Linked DNA regions of Nothobranchius furzeri. Each later gene encodes a partner of the first gene's protein in a complex. Links are inferred from orthologs where the notes say so. Each region holds a gene or a part of one and is shown on either strand. Other genes may lie near its edges. The genes, in order: cyclin-dependent kinase 2-associated protein 1 and mta3.

Region 1 (4,538 bases):
ATCGTTCAGCCCTAGTTCAGAGTATTTTAAGCTAAGCTAACGCTATTAGAAGTACCCATTTCAATCGGGAAAATAAGTGCGCTTTTATCATTCTGAACCGGAAGTTGACTGCCAATGTTGAGGGTAGCTTGACAAAGCGGACATTTGTTGGCTTTATGTAAGCTGATGGCAAGTAGTGACATCTGACTGTTTAGTTTGGATAATGGGCTCGACACACGGGAGGCGACGTCGCCTCTCCTCCATTAATTTTCAATGAGACATGCGTGACAAAGCGATAATCGCGGGTCTCCCTCCTACCAAGCGAAACGCGAAAAACGTGCGTGTGAAACTTTGCACTCGTGCACGTGTCGTGCACGGACGACCCAGCGACGCGATCCCAGAAAGTTGAAACATTTTCAACTTTTCATCGCTGTCGCTCGGATGAGGACCAATCAACGGAGGTTTCATTCACTGACCAATGAGCGGACAGGATGCTCCGTACATCTCCGAGCAAACATGGAGGAGAAGTTGATTATTATTATGTTTTATAGTAAAATCAGAAGTAAGATTTCACATAACTCTAGCAGCACCTTGTGAAACATCATATCTACCACTTTATTAACTCTGAACCGCTTAAATAACCTTAATTCCCTCCAACCTGACACAGCCAATCAAAACAACGGAAGTTTCGATTTCGCCGTGGAACAGAACGCGTAGACGGCTTTGCCGCTGGCCGCTACCGCGGATCGCCTCCCGTGTGACAGGTAATAAAAGCGACGGCGACAAATTTCACTGATCGCGGTCGTTTGTCGCCTCCCGTGTGTCGAGCCCCTAATAACCGATTATGTGTTGGCAGATGGTTGATATTTGGATGTGGAGTTTCTTGTATAATTTGTTTAAGTTAGACTACACTGTACCTCTAGTACACTAAAATTTAAATAAAACTTCTTTTGGCCAATGGCAGCAGTCACCTGCGAGAATCCCAGAGATGGAGGTCCATAGTCGCTCAGAATGGGCCTGTAGGACTGCAACGTGGCCAGGTTAGCTGCCGACGGAGAAGGAAGGTTCCCAACTGTATGGAGAACAAATAAAAAATCCACATCAGTTCAAATAAACATAGATATTCAATATATGGCTAATTTGTCGCTATTGCAACGTCGTTGCAGCGATCTGCCGTTGATGTCCACGCCCAGTTAAGAGGTTCTGAAACGCTAAAACTCACAGCAAGTGTTGGGAATGCTGTGGTGACAGAATGGAGGAGCGAGGACAACGAATAAAACTGAATGTTTCCCCAATTCTGTGTAGCATTGTTCTCAATATCCTTTCATAAACAGTAGGAGGAAAATATTTATACAACATTTTTATAGCCTAATGACCAGTTAAAGCGCTTTACACACACACACACACACACACACAGGATTCAGAGTCTTGCCCAAGGACATTTCCACATGTGGGAGAAGTCAGGATTGAACCACCAAAGATTTCAAACTGAAGCAATTCTAAAGTAAATATCCTCCCACCAACCAAAAGCGTGTCTTTGGGTGTAAATGGCTGTCTCTGGTGTGAGTCAGAGTGGTTGCTTGTCTCTGTGTTCCTGTGAGGGACTGGAGACTTGTCTAGGGTGACCACTCGTCCGCAGAATGCTGAGACACCAGTTCCCCAAGACCCTATAGAGGATGAGGCGGCACAGAAAAGGAGTCTTCTTCTTTGGCTTTGGGCATGTCCCTCTACAGCCAGTCATCTGTCTCCTTCTAGTCCTGTCTTCCACATCCTCTACCCTCACACCAACTAATGTTATGTCCTCTTTCACTGAATCCCCCCTCAACCTCCTGCCTGCTGACTCCACCCTCGGCATCCTTCTACCTACGTAATGTTTCCTCTGGACCTCTAAGTCTGGTCTCTCTGACTTCATCTCCAAAACAGTGTTCTGCAACCCTGGTCCTCCAGATCTCCTATGTTTTAGTCATTTATTCGTCCCAACAAATGTGACTAACATGCTTCTGCAGCACTTAGTAATTCAACCACTGATTCAGGTTCTTTGGAGCGGGGAAACAAGTAAAACATGCTGGATATGGGAGCCCTCCAGGAGCCCGCTGACCTAACATGAGCTGTCCCCCTGATAAACTCACTCCTGATGCTCATCACTCCCAAACAGAGCCAGAAAATGAGTGAGTGAAAACACAAAGTTCGTAAAATAAAACAGAGGGCTTTTCTTTTGTTAGACATGTTTTCTGCCTTCACTACACCTGGAACTGTAGTGACATCAACAATATATTGATATACTAAAACTCTTTTTAAAAACGCGTTTAAAGAATCTCACGTTGATTGTTCTATTGTAAGCCAGTGATGCTAATTTCATGTAAAACCCGTTTGTGAACACGTTATTAACCCTCTCACACAGCGCCGCGCTGCCTCTTTGTTTAGCTGCAGTACCCGTGTCCAACACCAGGTGTCCTCGATGGGACGTAAAATTCTCAGAGGCAGATCAATCGGCAGCTCCGACCGAGGAGCATCATGGAGGGAACAGAACAAGGCTGGCTCAAGAAGACATAAGTGATACATTTTTGTCACCGTGTAACGGCAACCCCCCGGCGGGACCGCGGCCCCGGACGACGGAGAAACCCATTTTCGGAACCGCCGCCGCCTCGTTTCTCATCCCCACCGTGTTTCTCGGCCGCCGCGGCTCCCGGATGGCGCTCTTTTACATTAGTAATAATGGCGGATATGAATTAGCCTAGCTCCCAGGATCTGACCCTATATATATAACTGGACAAAAACTACAGACACGGTCTTCTCCAGGTATTCTCCGAGACCCCGAATTTAACACTCGATTTAACAGGCGGATGCTTGGATTTTCTCCCACGGTTTCGCCTTACCCTGGTTCCCAGAAGTTCCCGGAATGTGCTGATGGGCATTGGGTTTATAAGACATTCCCAGAGACATTGTAAATTAAAGAAATAAAAATGACCCGAAATTCAGTGAAGCGTCTGTCTCTCACTTTTTGTTTACAACAGCGGCACCGGCAAATATGGCCGTCACTTTATATTGACACCCACCGAGTTTCTACCATCCACTGCGGCTCAGCAGGAAAAACACTTAAAACACGGTTTTCACCAAGAAGGCGTGAAAATCAGCCGCTTTTACACACATTTAGCCTGATTTTATGTAAGAAAGTTAACTCCGGCCCACGGACTTTTAACACTTACAGAAGAATCAACTTTTGAAGGTTTTTATGTTAACTTTGAAATTTTATTTTTCAGATTAAAAGAAAATAATGAGTTTTTACATCATAACAAGAAACTTGATGCAGATGTTTGGAGATGCTTAGTTTGCGTTAAGTCAAACAAATGAGCGAGTTTTATTTACAACACTTAAAAAAATTATGAAAGAAAATAAAGAAATTAAATTACCTAATTTGTTTTGTGTGGGAACTTCCATCGTTTTATTCGCGGATGTTTTAAACCAAAAATCAAAGCAGAAGGCAGGAGCTGTTCTGGTGACCCATGTGCTCGTCTTCTTTTTAAAACTAGGCTTTTCAGGGATCCCTTTTTTCCCCCATCAGGCCACGTGGTTGGACAGTGTTAGTCCCAGTGTCGTGACCCCAGTAGGGCAGGGGCCCCCACAATCGCTGACCCGAGGCTGGAGCACGTTTTTATGGAGCATCATCGCTGGCAACTTACAAACTAAGCGTAATCACAAACCGCTGAAGTAAAAATAGGCAAAGGTAATCCACAAAATAAAAGGCTATTTTCATTTGTATAAGTTTATACAGAAACTATTAAAAAGTACTTGTAGTGGCTTTTTGGACAATTGTACACTCTCTGTGTAATGCACATTTTCCAATAGCCACTAGTATTATATATATTTATACATACTTTAATGCTATTTTAGCATTAGTTGTAGAATTTTTTAAGTCTAAACCTCTATAAGGACACAATTTAAAAATGAAAATACATAAACCTGAAAGTAGCTACAAAAAAAAATTTAAGTTAAACCATCAAATTATGAAATATAGTCAATAACTAATGTTTTATATTTGGTGTTTATTTTCTAGTTTGTACAAAAACCAACAGGGTTTATTGAGAATGCACTCCTTCTTGCACAGGTACTGGTGAGTCAGTACAAGTCTTGTCACTAGTGCAACTCCAGCGATGATTTAGGTGGGAGAAAGTCCTTCTGTTGTTTCCGGAGAATCTTAAGCGACCCTTCCCCTTACAACAGCATTCAAAAACAACCTGCACACACTGCAGTTCGTGTACATGACAAAAGCGCGAGGCGTCCGCTTTTAAAAGGTGCACATTCAAGTTAAAACGTAAGCTGCGATTCAGGAGCAGCTCCCCCAGTGCTTTCCAGAGACTGAGATCCACCGTGTGAAGAATTCCAAACTGTACAAATAATACAAAGGTCTGTTTTTAAATGCATCGTCGGTCAAGCAGACGTGGATGCAGACCCACCGCCAGCTAATCCAGAGGATCGGGGTATGTTCGAGAAACCTGCCCCACAAAAACGCATCCTGAGTTTAACAGCCAGTCTTCAGACCTAGTGAGATGTAGGAGTGA
Region 2 (3,821 bases), on another chromosome or scaffold:
CGCCCAAAGGAGCACTCTGACCAGTGTTGTGCAGTTTCTAGGTAAATCCACACAAAGAAACAAGACCACCGCCCTCATAAGTGTCAAACCAGTAAAGTCATCAAATATTCAGATGGTCTGTATGAACCACTTCATGCAGCTCCGGTGTGATGTGTCTTCCAGAGTCCCGTCCAGTGGCCCACGCCCCTCGCTCCCATCGCACCCCAGGACTGCAGACACCCCCCCCTCGGCGCCTCCTCTCGTCTCTTCCACATGGCCCTCACGGCATGCTGGGAAAACGTAGCTACCATCACCACAGCAGGGCTGAACCAGAAAGACGCTCAGGTACTCAGAGACTGAAGGGATCCTACAAGAAAATAAGAACCCCTCATTTTATTCTTTTACTAATTGTGTTTCTAGAAACATGAGATCTGATTTTTTTTTCATGTAAACATTTTTACTTGCAGAATTAAACTCTTCAGTCTAATCAGGAGTTTAAAAAAACTCACTTTATCGTTATGTTTCTTAGAGATGAAGTGAAATGAGCAGATCAGGGCTGTGCAGGAATCAGACATCAATATCAGCCCTCAAATCTAGAATCGGAGCGCTTCTAGATCTGAACAAACTTTTGCATTTCAACAAAATAGACCCTGAACCTTTTCTGCCCATTTAACAGAATGTCATCTAAATCTAATAAAAATGAAGAACGCATCATTTTGATCAATTTTTCTTTTGGAACTTTCTACCTTTTCCTCAATTAAAACATGGCTTTGTAGCAATATTGTTCACAACTGACCGTTTACCCCTTTCTCTGGTGTGGCCTGCAGAAAACCCAGGCTCAACAGCTGGACCTGTCATGGTATGTGTGGGTTCACTTTTTGAGCTAACGTTCCTCTCCTGCATCCCTGCTTGTTGTCATTAAAATAACTTTTTTTGCAGCATAATGGTCGCAACAGCAGTGGAAACAACCGAGGAGGAGTGATGATCCGCAAGAGACGCCCCAACTGGATCGATGCTCCCGATGACAGCTTCTTCCTCGTCACCCGGGAGACCAGGTAAGCAAAGGTGACCCTTTATTGACCTCTGATTGACTAATTGTGTGTGTGCGTGTGTGCATGTAGGAAAAGCGATACTGACAGCAGATAAGCTGTGATTGAAAAGGAGTTATTTTTAACCTGTGTTGACTTCAGTCATCTGTAAACTGCCCAACAGAGAGACTGAATCAAGAGTTTATAATGAGAGATTATTTAATAGCTGACCTTTAAGCTTATTATCAATAATGTTTTTTGCTCTTGTCTGTTTGTATGTTTGACATGTTATCAATATGTCACCACTGGAGTGATTTTTATTTTGTTTATTTTTTTAAGTGATTACCATTCTGAGTTGACCTTAACAGAAACCGGCCATCACAGCTAAATGACCTTAGAAAACACAAAAAGGTCTAAAACTCAGATATTGAGCTGTCATTCCTTTAAGATCTACATGAAATCATGTTATCAGTTTATTTTCAACATTTGACCAAAACAACTATAACTATTGTTTGTTAATGTAAAATCATCTTTGTTTTAAGTTCTATAAAAGGCAACTTTGAGGCTAGCATTCAGAATTTATCCCAAAAGATTTATTTTATTGACTTTTTGAAAAATGTTGATTAAAAAGAATATCAAAATAATGTTTGTTTTAATCCAGATTTTTAAATGGAACACAAATGAAATCATTCCTGTAACTTAAGAAGCTGCAATCGATCAATCAACCAGCCAACCAACCAACCAACCAACAAACCAATTAACCAACCAACCAACCAGCCAACCAACTAACAAACTAATTAACAAACCAACCAATTAATAAATTAACCAATCAACCAACCAATTAACCAATCAGCCAATCAACAAACTAATTAACCAATCAACCAGTCAGTCAACTAATCATCAATCAATCAATTTTATTACAAAGCAAACAGATTTTCATGAAGTGTTTAAAACGTAATAAACTTGACATGTTTTCTAAACCGGCTAAAGAACATCAGCGTGGATCATCCCTAACATGAAATCTGAGAAAGTTTATCAGGAGTAGGGTTGTCACGGTGTGAAAATTTAACCTTACAGTTATTGTGACCAAAATTATCACGATTTTCGATATTATCGCGGTATTTTTTTTAAACGTGTTACATTTTCAGACTAAATAAACCTTGTATATCAGGAAAATATTGTCCTCAGTTTGTGTCTAAATTTTGCCCTAAAATGTGTTATTTTGTAATTATGTTGTTTATTTGTTTACATATTTCCCCTTTAGTCTTTAAAATACAATATTTGCCCATAACTTCTTATTTTTGTCTGTTTGATGTCATAATTTTAAAAATATTAGACCAGATGATACTCAGTAATCAAGTAGTCTTCTAATCAGATACTTTTTTACCCTTACTTGAGTAATAAACCCTATATCAGGAAAATATTGTCCTCGGTTTGTGTCCTTCTTTGCAGATTTGGGAAAATGTCATCAGGCAGTAATCATTGTTAAATTCATAATTATTCTCGGAGAGAGACCAGCTCTTATCTGCCCCTGGGAGCCCCGTAATACATAGCGTCTTTTCAGTATGGGGGCGTCCGTGACACGGTTTATATGCAGGTAGCGGCGCTGCGGCTGCTTTAAATAGCGACTCGTTGCATTCTCCCACAACCCAAATCCTCAGATCATGCATTTTAGCTAAAACGTTAACGTTAGCTTGCCTTGCGTTGACTGTAGAGTTGAGGGTGATGGTCACGCAGATGTGTCATGAGATTTGAAGCGTTGCTGCCTTTCAGACACTTTTTCCTCACTGTAAAAAAGACAGTCCAGTGAACTTAAAAAAGTAAAGCAACCAGTTGCAATACAATTTTAAGTTCAGTCAACTTTTTAGGTGCTTGCTTTTCTGTATTAACTTAACATTTTGCAAGTTAAAACGTTCAACTGACTTAAAACTTTAAACTCTCCAAACTAATTGCAATTTGGATTTTTAACAGTGCTGCACGTGCTGCAAACAGGATAGCCATCTTCTATCAACTGTCCCTCGGCATTCTTCAAATATCCAAAAAAAATGCCCATACATCCGATTTTGTCTTCTTTGAGGGATAATAAATGTCCTGAGTGCTGCCGTCTCCTCCTTTGGCCATTATTTCAGCTTTAGCTTCAAGAAAGTTTTGGCTGTAAACAACAAAGTGCCGCCAGCAACTTCAGCAGATGTGGTGGCTGGTAAGGGTCACCGCGCCTACATCGCAGCCACGGTACTCCACCGAGATAATATTTTTTTTTAAAAAACAAGACAGTTATTATTATTGTCAACTTTTTTACCGGGGTTTACCTACACCGGTTACCGTGACAACTCTAATCAGGAGCTAACTTCATTCCATTTCATGAAGTCTGATTCATAAAGGTTTTTTCCATCCTTCTGATGCACTTTCATCATTTTAAACATCTTCCGTTTATCTGATTCCTTTTTCTCCTTCCATCTTTTTTACATCTCTGTATCATCCTTACCCGTTATCTGGCACTAGGAATACATTTAGCAAAGTGAATAAGAAACATCTGTGATGCCAACGTAAAGCTAGCTGATTAATGTAAACATTGTTTACTTGTGAGAAGACTCGTGTCTCCACCTCTAACGTCACACGGTGCACATCAAACCACTTTCTTCTGCCCTCACAAGCACTTAGGAGACTGAAAATGAACACCATTTCATACCATTAGCACAGCTTGTACTGCATCAACATCATTACAGCTGCAGAAGGGAGTTTGTCATTGGGAGAGAGTGACATTAGCTTTTAGTTTAAAGCTTTTTGTGCTCCCTTAAAGACTTTGATGTAAAG

What was found.
Region 2: cyclin-dependent kinase 2-associated protein 1 (region 1) and mta3 share a complex: the UniProt entries of both Homo sapiens proteins name them as parts of the nucleosome remodeling and deacetylase (NuRD) repressor complex. The link is inferred for Nothobranchius furzeri from reciprocal best matches to the Homo sapiens genes CDK2AP1 and MTA3.

Annotation. Positions count from the first base shown.
Region 1 is NC_091746.1:75,833,820-75,838,357, reverse strand, and holds the start of cyclin-dependent kinase 2-associated protein 1, read right to left. Parts: upstream 3,031-4,538; 5' UTR 2,923-3,030; coding exon 2,856-2,922; intron 1,052-2,855; coding exon 951-1,051; intron 1-950. UniProt on the Homo sapiens protein: Inhibitor of cyclin-dependent kinase CDK2. Also acts as a component of the histone deacetylase NuRD complex which participates in the remodeling of chromatin.
Region 2 is NC_091756.1:43,872,971-43,876,791, forward strand, and holds part of mta3 (metastasis-associated protein MTA3), read left to right. Parts: coding exon 1-41; intron 42-162; coding exon 163-324; intron 325-806; coding exon 807-838; intron 839-918; coding exon 919-1,034; coding exon of another isoform or gene 1,035-1,038; exon of another isoform or gene 1,039-1,044; intron 1,045-3,821. UniProt on the Homo sapiens protein: Acts as a component of the histone deacetylase NuRD complex which participates in the remodeling of chromatin.